Linked DNA regions of Elephas maximus indicus. The protein of the gene in region 1 purifies or fractionates together with the protein of each later gene. This does not show direct contact. Links are inferred from orthologs where the notes say so. Each region holds a gene or a part of one and is shown in the gene's direction. Other genes may lie near its edges. The genes, in order: STK26, SIKE1 and CTTNBP2NL.

What was found.
Region 2: the proteins of STK26 (region 1) and SIKE1 purify together in Homo sapiens (affinity purification with mass spectrometry; 4 studies listed by BioGRID and IntAct, with this or other methods). This does not show direct contact. The link is inferred for Elephas maximus indicus from reciprocal best matches to the Homo sapiens genes STK26 and SIKE1.
Region 3: the proteins of STK26 (region 1) and CTTNBP2NL purify together in Homo sapiens (affinity purification with mass spectrometry; 4 studies listed by BioGRID and IntAct, with this or other methods). This does not show direct contact. The link is inferred for Elephas maximus indicus from reciprocal best matches to the Homo sapiens genes STK26 and CTTNBP2NL.

The regions. Positions count from the first base shown.
Region 1 is NC_064846.1:24,087,702-24,091,452, reverse strand, and holds the start of STK26 (serine/threonine-protein kinase 26), read left to right. Parts: upstream 1-1,574; coding exon 1,575-1,592; intron 1,593-3,751. UniProt on the Homo sapiens protein: Serine/threonine-protein kinase that acts as a mediator of cell growth. Modulates apoptosis. In association with STK24 negatively regulates Golgi reorientation in polarized cell migration upon RHO activation.
Region 2 is NC_064821.1:165,760,111-165,763,861, forward strand, and holds the start of SIKE1 (suppressor of IKBKE 1), read left to right. Parts: upstream 1-1,325; 5' UTR 1,326-1,407; coding exon 1,408-1,566; intron 1,567-1,793; coding exon 1,794-1,899; intron 1,900-2,816; coding exon 2,817-2,959; intron 2,960-3,751.
Region 3 is NC_064821.1:168,370,649-168,374,399, reverse strand, and holds the start of CTTNBP2NL (CTTNBP2 N-terminal-like protein), read left to right. Parts: upstream 1-1,412; 5' UTR 1,413-1,479; intron 1,480-3,751. UniProt on the Homo sapiens protein: Regulates lamellipodial actin dynamics in a CTTN-dependent manner. Associates with core striatin-interacting phosphatase and kinase (STRIPAK) complex to form CTTNBP2NL-STRIPAK complexes.

The DNA.
Region 1 (3,751 bases):
ATCCATACCAAAGGACCAGTAAAGAAGGTCCAGGAATAATGTGAATGCCCTAAGGTGGATCTCAGAGGCTTTCATTTTCATAAATCCATTTTTGCAGGGCATATACAAATCATACACCATTTGTTGTAAATTAATATGAGGTTAATTTAGTGGTTCCTACTATTTGCTACAGAATTTAAAGCTCCTTTCTGGGCTACTGCTTCCAGAAGGCAATGCAAACACAGATGCAACAGTAACCGTTAATTATGCATAAAAAGGTTTAGAAATTTTAATATTCGTAAAAGAATATTTGATTTAGGTATGTAGAGAGCTGACTTGATTTTCTTCGAGAGCTGTCTTGATTTTCTTCCAGGCTCTGAAGAGTAGTGTGAATGATTGAGCAAACCAGTTTCTTTATACAGATGGTCTTTTAATTGCATTCTTTGGGATTTTTACAAGTTATTTACTTGAATTTTGCCCTTTCCCTAAAAAAAAGAAAGGAAATCTGTCTTAATAACTACTTAGGATACCTTGATTTAATAAGCCAGTGAGATGGTGAACAGGAAATTAGATCTTTGGGATTATCTGTGAAAGATTTGGAGTCTCTGGGTGGTACAAATGGTTAACATGCTCAGCTCCTAACAGGAAGGGTGAAGGTTCAAATCCATTTGTAGATGCCTTGAAGAAAGGCCTGGCAATCTACTTCAGAAAAATCAGCCATTGAAAACTATGGAGCACCGTTCTACGCTGAGACACATGGAGTTACTATGAGTCAGAATCGACTAAATGGCAACTGTTTTGTTTTTTAAATCAGGGATATAAAACAAAACAAAACCCATTGCTGTTGAGTCAATTCTGATGCATAGCGACCCTATGGGACAGACTAGAACTTCCCAGAGAGTTAGGAATTGATAAATAGGACAGGGACCTGTATCCCTCAGGGAGATGAGGAGTGGGAAGTGCAAACGTTTCTGTCTCCAACTTGGTATTCCTTGATTGAAAATCTTTAACTATATTGATGAGTTGGGATTCACTTCAGAGCTTCTTTAAAACGCAAAATGTGACTTGGTTTTTAAGTCTTTGATCTACACACTTTCAGGAACTCATTTAGTACAGAAAGCAAGGAACAGCTTTATCCCCCCTGGAGCTGATTGTTTTAGTCATAGCCTTTTAAAACACTAATTAGGAAGATTGGGATTTAATCTTTGTTTTTTACAACAGATGATTTTTTTTTCTTTTAATTTTTTTATTGTGCTTTAGGTGAAAATCCAACTGACAATTCTTGTTATAAGTTAATGAATATACTTCTCAATCCAGAATGTGTTATCCATTTCTGTTTTAGAAAGTACATATATATTTTTAACCAGCGACTTATTTCCAAATTTTAGACTAGCTTTGCAGCTGCATCAGGACAACTGAAAGATTATTTCTTTTTATTTTTCAAAGCCCACTGAATTTAGGAAGTTATAGGGAGGCAAACCCATCACTAAGATATTTGATGGGTATTTTTGCCACAAGGTACTAGAAAGGCAACAACCATCACCAGAAGTAGAAAGAGGTAACTGTGAGTTAACCACTGTGTAATAGTAATCAGCATGAAGTACAATGTCATGGTAAGAGAGAGAATGCCAAGGAAATTAATAATGATGGTACTCAAGTTTTTGAGAATGTATTATAACAAAATATGAGCGTTAAAGAGGCATTTGCAACCTACTGGAAGTCTAAACTAGTTTTAAATGGATATATGGGAAACTCAAGATATATTTACTCCGTGTGGGACTAGAGGTGGGTAGGAATACACAAGTAGCTTGCAACATCAGAGACTGCTACGTGGAAAGGGCATCTTTCAGAAAAGAACAAAATCCAATCAAGGAGAATGGGGAAGCTTATAACGTAAGCAGGTCGTGTGCAAACTGTACTTTAAGCAGGCTGAAAAAAGAAAAATTGGTGAAATTCTTTAAAAGCAGTCATAAGTCTTCAAGTTACCTCAAAAGGAGGCAGCTCACTGGAGTAGCAGTGGATCTATTTGGTAATCATGGCACCAAGAACTTGATCAGAGACAAATAATAAATTTTAATGGCCTATTTGTCTAGTAAAGGAAGATACCTTTGTTGTTGTTAGGTGCCGTCAAGTCAGTTCCAACTCATAGCGACCCTATAGGGCAGAGTAGAACTGCCCCACAGGGTTTCCAAGGAGCTGCTGGTGGATTCGAACTGCCGACCATTTGGTTAGTGGCTGAGCTCTTAACCACTACACCACCAGGGTCCAAGGAAGATATTAGGAATGTGCTAACTCTATAATTATCTCTTGAAACTGATGGCTAAGTAAAATGGTGGTAAATGAACAGATATTCTAGGCCTGACTGGCAAATTAAATATAGACAGCTCACCAGAGCTAGATAGAATCCTCCTATATTTTGAAGGTACTCAAAGTAAAATTTTAGATATAAACTAATAAAGCACTTAAGTATAATTTATTAAACTGTCTTTTCGGTGGGGGAGGGAGACTCAATCCTGAGTTTCTACTTGGTCAGTAGTGTATCTTCAATATGAGTTAACGTAAAGATATAAAGATTGTTTCATCCAAGTGAAATTTTAATTCAAAATTGTATATTACAACATAAAGGATATAGTTTCTGAATCAGAAAAGAATATCAAATGTATAAATCTAAGTCATGCCTGTACATTTGTTAACCTAGAAACCTATGCTTGAGTTCAGGTTTTATCGCAGCAAAGTGTCGACTTCTGTATTCTCACTGTGAGATGAGTTGTGAAAGGAATTGTGACAAAGGAATAATAGCGTCTTATTTCAGCCTTGGACTAGACCAGTACGTGCCGATAGGATCCTGAGTTTTTGTTTCTGTTTTTTTTTTTTTTTTCCTTAAGTTTAAATTCTTGAATCTATTGTGTTCTGTGTCGTTTGGATGGTGGTTTGGAAGTATACGGGGAATGATTGAGATGTGTGAGTTGGGGAATAAATTACCACAAACTAGGTGGCTTTAAAACAGATATTTATTCTCTCACAGTTATGGAGGCCAGAAGTCTGAAATCAAGGTGTCAGCACGGTTGGTTCCCTCGGAGGCTCTCAGAGTCCATTCCATACCTGTCTCCTAGCTTCAGGCGATGGTTGCTGGCAATCCTTGGTATTCCTTGGCTTGTAGGTGCATCACTCCAGCCTCTGCCTCTGACTTCTCCCCTATATGCGTCTCTACCTCAAATCTCTCTCTGCCTTTCTCTTATATGAACACCTACCATTGGACTTTGGCACAGTACTTAAGTGCTCAGTCACTAACTGAACAGTAGGCGGTTCGAACCCACCAGCCTGTCTGTGGGAGAAAAATGTGGCAGTCTGCTTTCGTAAAGATTACAGCCTCGGAAACCCTAGGAGGCAGTTCTACTTTGTCCTACATGGTTGCTGTACATTAGAATCGACTCAGCGGCAGTGGGTTTGGGTTTGGATCATTGGATTTAGGGCCCCCCCCAGAAAATCTAGGATGATCTCATCTCGAGATCCTAACTTAATTACCTCTGCAAAGGCCCTTTTCCCAAATAAGGTCACATTCAGAACTTTGGGGGGGTTAGGATTTGGGCATATCTTTTGGGGGGCCACTATTCAACCCACTACACTTAATTTAGCTGTTCTCTCTCTCACCATTGCTACCCTTCTATTAAAGTGTAAACTGAATATGACCAGCTGCTGATTCTAAGAAGTGCTTGATCCTTTGGCAGGGAGCTCAGACAACATTTGCTGTATGGGATTGTTTGTGGTAGGA
Region 2 (3,751 bases), on another chromosome or scaffold:
AGACTGGTAATTGATTAAATGTGAGACATAAGTAAATGGGAAGACTAAACAATGACTTTCAGGATTCTGTTTTATGAAAATGGGTGTATGAACATGCTCTTTAGGGAGACAGAAGAAACAGGTTTAGAGGCAAAGCTAATAATGAGGTCAGTTTTAGACCATGTTGAATTTGTGGTGCCTGTAGGTTGTCACTGTGGAAACACTCTGTACGCAACTAGATATAAATATCCTAGGTTAATGAAAGAGATTTCAACTACAGAGATGGATTTGAGAACCAATGGGCCTGGGTGGAAGTCAAAACCAAAGGAAATAGATCACTCAGGCAGGGTGTTTTTCTTTTGTTTTGAATGAAATCTCTTTACCTCTGTCGCTATGCATTAAAGTTTTTCCCGTTGGTCTGTGGCCCTGATTTGTTATTTTTCTTGAGCTTGTTCCCCATCTACCCCCTTAACAATTACTGAGTGTCTCCATTGTGCCAGCTGTTGGGAACAGAACAGCCCAAATTCCCCTTCCCTCCGCGTTTCTCTGACCTCTCACTAAGGCTCTGGCACTCTCACCCCTTCACCAGGCTCCTAATTCTCTCACTGCCTTAAATTATTCATTGGAGTATAAATTCTTTCTCCCATTAGAACATAAGCTCCCTAATGGGAGAAAGGGAGCCTGAGTGGCACAAGAAGTTTGCCATTGGCTGCTAACCTATAGGTTAGTGGTTCAAATCCACCCAGCAGCTCCATGGGAGAAAGGCTTGATGAACTGGTGATCTGCTTCCATAAAGATTACAGCCAAGAAAACCCTATGAACAGCTCTATTCTGTGACACATGTGGTCGCGGGGTTTTTCTTTGAGAGACCTTGTGTCTTATTCTCTGCTGTGTTCCCAGAGACTAAACAGTGCCTGGAATAAAGAAGACGCTCCAAAAATATTTATTAAATTAATGAATGAAAAAGAGCAAAGTTTGACGTACAAACATGACAAGCAAAACTCTTATAAACTGATATAACAAATGACAAAAAAGTTGTTTTTCTGACTAATTTTATTTTCAATGTATTAATTGAATTAAAACCAAAAAAGTACGCAATTAGAGTAAAACGATGACTGAGTAAAAAACCCACATTAACCAAAAGCCAGTAGAAAAAAGAGAAACCCATCAAGCTTAGGAACAGGAAAACAAGAACCCGGCCAGTGCAAGCCGTCAGCTCTGCGGTGGGCGGGGCTGAAGCGAAGGCGCAGGTTAAAGCGGGTCAACCTGAGGACGTATCTGTCATTGCGCAGGCGCATAGATCGCGGCGGCTGAGGCGCCTGGCCAACTTTCCCGGAAGTGACGTATGTTACGCTGAGAAGGGTTCAAGGAAGATCTGGGCGCTTTGCTTAGGTGAGCGGTGCGGACAGGTGGGGTCGTGCATCCGCTATGACCTGCACCATCGAAAAGATCCTGACAGACGCCAAGACTCTGCTGGAGAGGCTGCGGGAGCACGATGCGGCCGCTGAGTCGCTGGTGGATCAGTCGGCGGCACTGCACCGGCGGGTGGCAGCTATGCGGGAGGCTGGGGCAGCGCTTCCGGACCAGGTCAGGCAGAGATGGGGGATCCGTGCCCTCGGGTTCTGGGCGCTTGAGGTGTGGACTGCGAGGTAAACTGAGAACTCGGCCTGGAATTTGTTCCCGGTCTTAGAGGGCGGCGGTGAGGCGTCTGCCGAGTTGGGGCTGAGAATACTGCCTGGAGCTCTGGCTCCTACCTTTTCAGTTGTATCTGCCCCTGTTTTCGGCGCGCTTAGTCTGTCTTTCTGTTTGTCCAGTATCAAGAGGATGCATCCGATGTGAAGGACGTGTCTAAATACAAGCCTCACATTTTGCTGTCCCAAGAGAACACGCAGATTAGAGACTTGCAGCAGGAAAACAGAGGTTAGTCAGGCTTTTTGTGTAGTTACGATTTTTTTTTTCCAGTAGCAGTTCAGAAATTCTTGCAGAACTGCCTTAACTGTTCACAAACGTGGACATCCTATACGTATTCCCAGGTAAATACTTTTAAAAGGAGTGTCACTTGCTAGACCAATAATGGTGTGGTGTAATTGCTAAATATCTTTTTCAAGGTCATCTGACTGATTTAGCATTTATAGACGGCTCATCAAAGTGGTGCTTAATAGAATTGAATTATTGCGTGGTGTGTTTAAATATCCCCGGATAGAGGCTTGCGTAACAAAGGAGTTCATATTCTCAAAGGGCTTAGAATTTAATGTTTAAATAGTAATCGAAATAAACATTAAAGTTAAATTTTTTTTTTTACTCTTATCGCATAAGGTGCAGGAACAGTTCTATCCTCAGGATATATATTCTTAAACATGTTAACTACGTTATTAATGATGGTAGTGTTAATTAAAAAAAATTTTTTTAATAGTCACTTACATATCAGTTTACAGAAGGTTTTCACATATTACTTCACATTGTATTCTTGTATCTTCATTTTGGTATAGGCAAGCCTGGTATTTATTATTACAGTATTGCAGCTGAGAAATAGACCCAGAGAGGTTAAATGATTTGCTCAGGAGTACTTTTATTAAGCTAGTAAGTCACAGAACTGTACTCAAACCTGTGTCTTCTGATTTCATACCCTACGGTGTTTCTACTAGACTATGGTGTCTCTGCCTAGGAAGTTATTTTTAACATAAACCTTAGCTCTTTAGTTTTGTGGATTTAAACATTGATTTACAACTTTGGACTCACAGTATCTTATGGAGTGTCGTAAAATTCCAACTGTTAAGAGTTTGGTTTTGGGAGTGGTTTCTCAGACATTGCTGCCAAGTTATTTTATTTTTTGATAGAACTATGGGTTTCCTTGGAGGAACACCAGGATGCCTTAGAACTCATCATGAGCAAGTACCGGAAACAGATGTTACAGTTGATGGTCGCTAAAAAAGCAGTGGATGCTGAACCAGTCCTGAAAGCTCACCAGTCTCATTCTGCAGTAAGAAGCTCTGATAAGTAAATTCTAAATTAACTGAATTGAAATCTGGAAATTATTTTAGATTTTGTGTTTGATTTCCAAGAAAAATAACCTTGTGTTTCCTTTCATGTTTATCACAATTGCTGTTTATTTTGCTTTAGCTTTGTAAAGATAATCAGAAGGGGATGAGGAGCTACTCAGTGCCTTTTATTTGAGTGGCCCACGGTTCCCTCCTCTCCCTGTACCGCATCAAGATCTTTTTTCAGAACGCTAAGGAATGCTAAGCACTTGCACCAAACATAATGCCAGTTAGTGTTGAAAGTGTCAAACTGAACTGCATAGCATCATGCTCTATTGTTAGGAGAGAATAGTGGTGTTTAAAAAGTATGTGTAGCGTAGTTTCTACACTTAGGCTGCTTATGATTTAATTTGGGAGACCCAATAATTGTACTTATATTTATAAGATGCTTCACAGTTGTCATGGTACATTCACAGGTACCATATCACTTAATTCTGGGTTAATAGATTGAACCTCGCTGTTTGCTACGGTGGAATTTAGTGAGAGATCAATTTCATCTTAGATTCTGTTGACTTTATTGACTTAACAAAAGTCTTAAGGAATAGGGATAGCTACATTTAAGCTTTCATCTAGAGGAGGAAAATGAATTTTACCAATTTACTGAACCTTGAAGGAAACGATTTATATGATATAGGAGAACTTTCTAAGATGTCCAAAGATGGAAAAAGGCACCCTGGAATGTGATAAGCTTCCTCCCAATGAAAGCGGGAGAACTTAAGTTAAACAGCCACTTA
Region 3 (3,751 bases), on another chromosome or scaffold:
TGGATCAAATCCCTCCACCAGACTGTAAACTACATGAGGACATGGCTGCATCTGCCTTGAGAACTGTGTCTGCTTAGGTGAGGACTAGGCCCTAATATTGTCTTGTTTAATGACAACTACTAATTGTATTGTTATATGAAAAATAATGCGATGGTTATTATTTTAACCAGCTAAATCAATCTATGAGCTGGAGTGCAGTCTATGGAAAAGTGTTCTAGAAACTTTGACCTCCAGGAAGGATACAGCTAGGTCTACCATCATTCTCTCCCCTCTCTGGGCTATCTGGTCCTACCTAGGGCTTGCTGCTGAAGTCCTGGGTGGTGCAATTAATACTCGGTTGCTAACCAAGGTTGGAGGTTCACATCCACCCAGAGGCATCTCAGAAGAAAGGCCTGGTAATCTACCTCCAAAAAATCAGCCACTGAAAACCCTATGGGGCACAGTTCTACAAGAGGTCACCATGAGTAAGAGTCGTCTCAAGGGCACCTGGGTTTTTTAAGGCTTGCTATCATCAGCAAGATGTGTTCCTCTTGTTTCCACATGGAGGGCCAGACATGTATACTCTAGGCTGTCCATTGTTCCAACTTCACTGCAAACACCGTCATCCCATAGTATAATGGGGCGACCAACATGAAATTGTCTTCTCATCTGGCAAGCGTGGTGTGGAAACCTTGACACACAAATTTGCAATTATTAGACTTCTGCCTTGAAGGCAGCCTCCCCCATTCCTTCCCCTTTCGCCCTTGCCCCCAACCTGGTGGATAGTATACAGAGACAAGGCCTGGAAGGCAGGCAGGTCGGCTGGGTTTATGGCCCCTCTGGTACAATCCTATGACCCACTGCAGAATTTCCATAGCTAGCATCCTCTTCTACATATAATGTGAAGAGAGAAGGATGGTCTCCTGATATTTCATCTTTGTACCCTTGCTTCCAGCACACCTTCAGGCGCGTCCAAGGAAAAAAGCGGGAGCAGGGAAGCCACGTTACTGAGTTTTCAATAACCATTTCTAAAGCAGATACCAAAGCTTACTTTTCTAAACAATGTGGATGAAATCACACTCCGGACACCAGAAGCCCGCCATTCCTCAGCTTCCCCTACCACTAGGGCGAAGCATGAAGCCCTTGTCAGGGGCCTGTCCAGCAACGGTAAAGAAGCTGGAAAGCGGCAGGACCCAGACCCACCTTCGTGCGGGCCGGAGGAGGGTGCTTCCTACCGGAACTGACGTGAGCTCAATCCCAGCCCGGTTCTCCCCAAACAAAAGGGATCTTGGGGCTCCAGGAGGAGCCTAAATGACATTGGAGAAGCTCCTCCTCCAGCCAGTGTGGATTGGTGGCGGCGCTGAAGAGGCGAGGTGGTGATTGGCCAGAATGCATGCCAATGTCCCTTCCTGGCGGTTGAGGGGGTGGGGCCTCGGGGGCTGTGGATAGGGAGCGGGTGGCGGAGGCGGCCGGGAGCGGAGCCCGGAGCGCCGGGAAAAGGTAGGATCCCCTAATGCTGGGACTTGGTGACTGCTGGGAAACCGGGTTTCCGAGAGAAAAGCAAGGGTGGGACCCCGGTATCCTCCCGCACTGTCCCACTGCCTCTCGTGTACATCCCGGAGGGGGCGGGGCCGTCTCCTCCACCTCCCGGTATTCCCTGAGGAGGTGGCTGCTCATCCTTCGAGGGTCCTCACGGTTCCTTATTGTCCCCCGTCAGTTCCTCCCTCCTCAGAAAGGGCTTCCCTCCTGCTACCTCTCATTTAAAAGCCCTTCTCGCTCAGCGCTTCAACCTTGGAGGAGGGCTCGCCGGTTCCCATTCCCTACGCTGCCGCCCCCACTCCCATTTTGTACCCCGGGCAGCCAGACATCCCTCCCTACACCTGTCCCTGCTCGCTAGGGTGGGACCAGAGCTAGTATCGTTTGTAAGATAAAGTCAGTACATTTTAGAAAAGAGGGATGGGGCAAAGCAAAAATCAAAGACCCGACCTGGACAGCCAGCACCACGTACGAAGCGGCCCTCCCCCCCCTTCAGCTCTTCCCATCCTCCATTCTCGGATCCCCAGCCTTCTTCCAGCTGCCCGTCGGATTTGCTGTTCTGTGGCGAGTGGAGAGCTCCCCTGCTTCGGGAGTCAAGATGGACTTTTTTTAAGCTCTGGAGGAAGGAGAAATTACAACCCCCTCCCCCCATCTCAGTCTTTGTACCTTCTCTCTATTTTCTATTCCCAGCTTCAAAAGGTTTTCTAGCGTTGAGTTGTTCACTTTTGCCTTCCACCCTATTTCTTCCCTGAGAACTTGATGAAAAACCATCCTCTTGTATTTCACAGTGAGGTGGGTGTGTTGGCTATCTGCAGAATTGCCTTTGTGTGGGTAGGAATGCAGTGTGTATTGTTTGGCAACCAGTGAATAGCACAAGATTTAAGATGAAGCAGTATAGATAAGCAAATGAAAATATTTGGTCATAGGCATGAGTATCTCCTAGTCTATGGTGGGCTGGTTGTTGCTCAGGGAGACTGCACTTCACCTGGAAGGTATGGTTCTGTTGAAACAAAAGGCAGGAAGTGTTTGAAGAAAATTCAGGTTCAGACATTTAGGTTTATAAGTAATCTGGTCAGGTGGCCTTTGGTTACTCTCAACTACTCCATCTTTTATAGTGGGTTCCCCCCCTCCCCCAGGGAAAATGATACATATATGACATTGTTGACTGGTTTTACATGACCCATAGCATCTAACAAAAATATTAAAAAATATATATATATATAAAAAAAAATTTATAGGGGACAAAAAATAAGAGCAATTTTTAAGTCGCAGAGATGAGGGTAAATAAAGGCGAGGTAAGCTCCAGTTATTCACATGCCTCTGTAGTATGTTCATAAAGACTTTGTTAAGCTGTTCTTCATTTCAGCAGGGGCTAAGTATTGATGGCTTTTGGTCCAGTGTTAATGCCCCTGAATCCCCAGTAATCACCTATGGGTGCCTGTTACCAATTGCCGTCAAATGGACTCCAACTGACAGCAACCTTGTAGGACAGAGGAGAACTGCCCCGTACGGTTTCCTAGGCAGAAATCTCTACGGGAGCAGACTGCCACATCTTTCTCCCCTTGAACAGCTGGTGGGTTTAGACCTCTGACCTTTCTGTTAGCAGCTGAGCATTTAACCACTGTGCCACCGGGGCTCCTTACCGATGGATAGTGCTTTCATATATTAAAATTAACCATATATTAAGCAGTTTTCTTTTTTGCTTTCAATCAGAAGTCCCTCTCACTACTGTTACCTGTAAAAACCAAACCCATTGCCATCGAGTTGATTCCAATTCATAGCGACCCCACAGGACAGAGTAGAACTGCCCCACAGGGTTTCCAAGGAGCAGGAGCAACTGGTAGATTCCAAATGCTGACCTTTTGATTCGCAGCCAAACAGCCAAGCTCTTAACCACTGCACCACCAGGCCTCCTCTGTTATCTAGAGCCAAAGCTAATCTCAATAACATGCAAAGAGTTGAAATCATAGAGGGTGATTGTAGTGGCTGTTGTCTTTTACCTTCCTGATTAGACTTCCTGAAGGTAATTATTTTTAATAGTTAAGTTTCGAAGTTTTCAGAGCCACACTTGGTGCTCACAGATCTGTGTAGTGATTATTCCCAGATCTACAATAAGAAAGCATAAAAGAGAAGCTATGTGTGGGGTCTCCCCAGCTAACACAGCAATAGCAGTAGAAAAAACTAAAGCAGAACAGGAAACTCTAGAAAGATATATCTTGTTACATGAGCAGAGAAC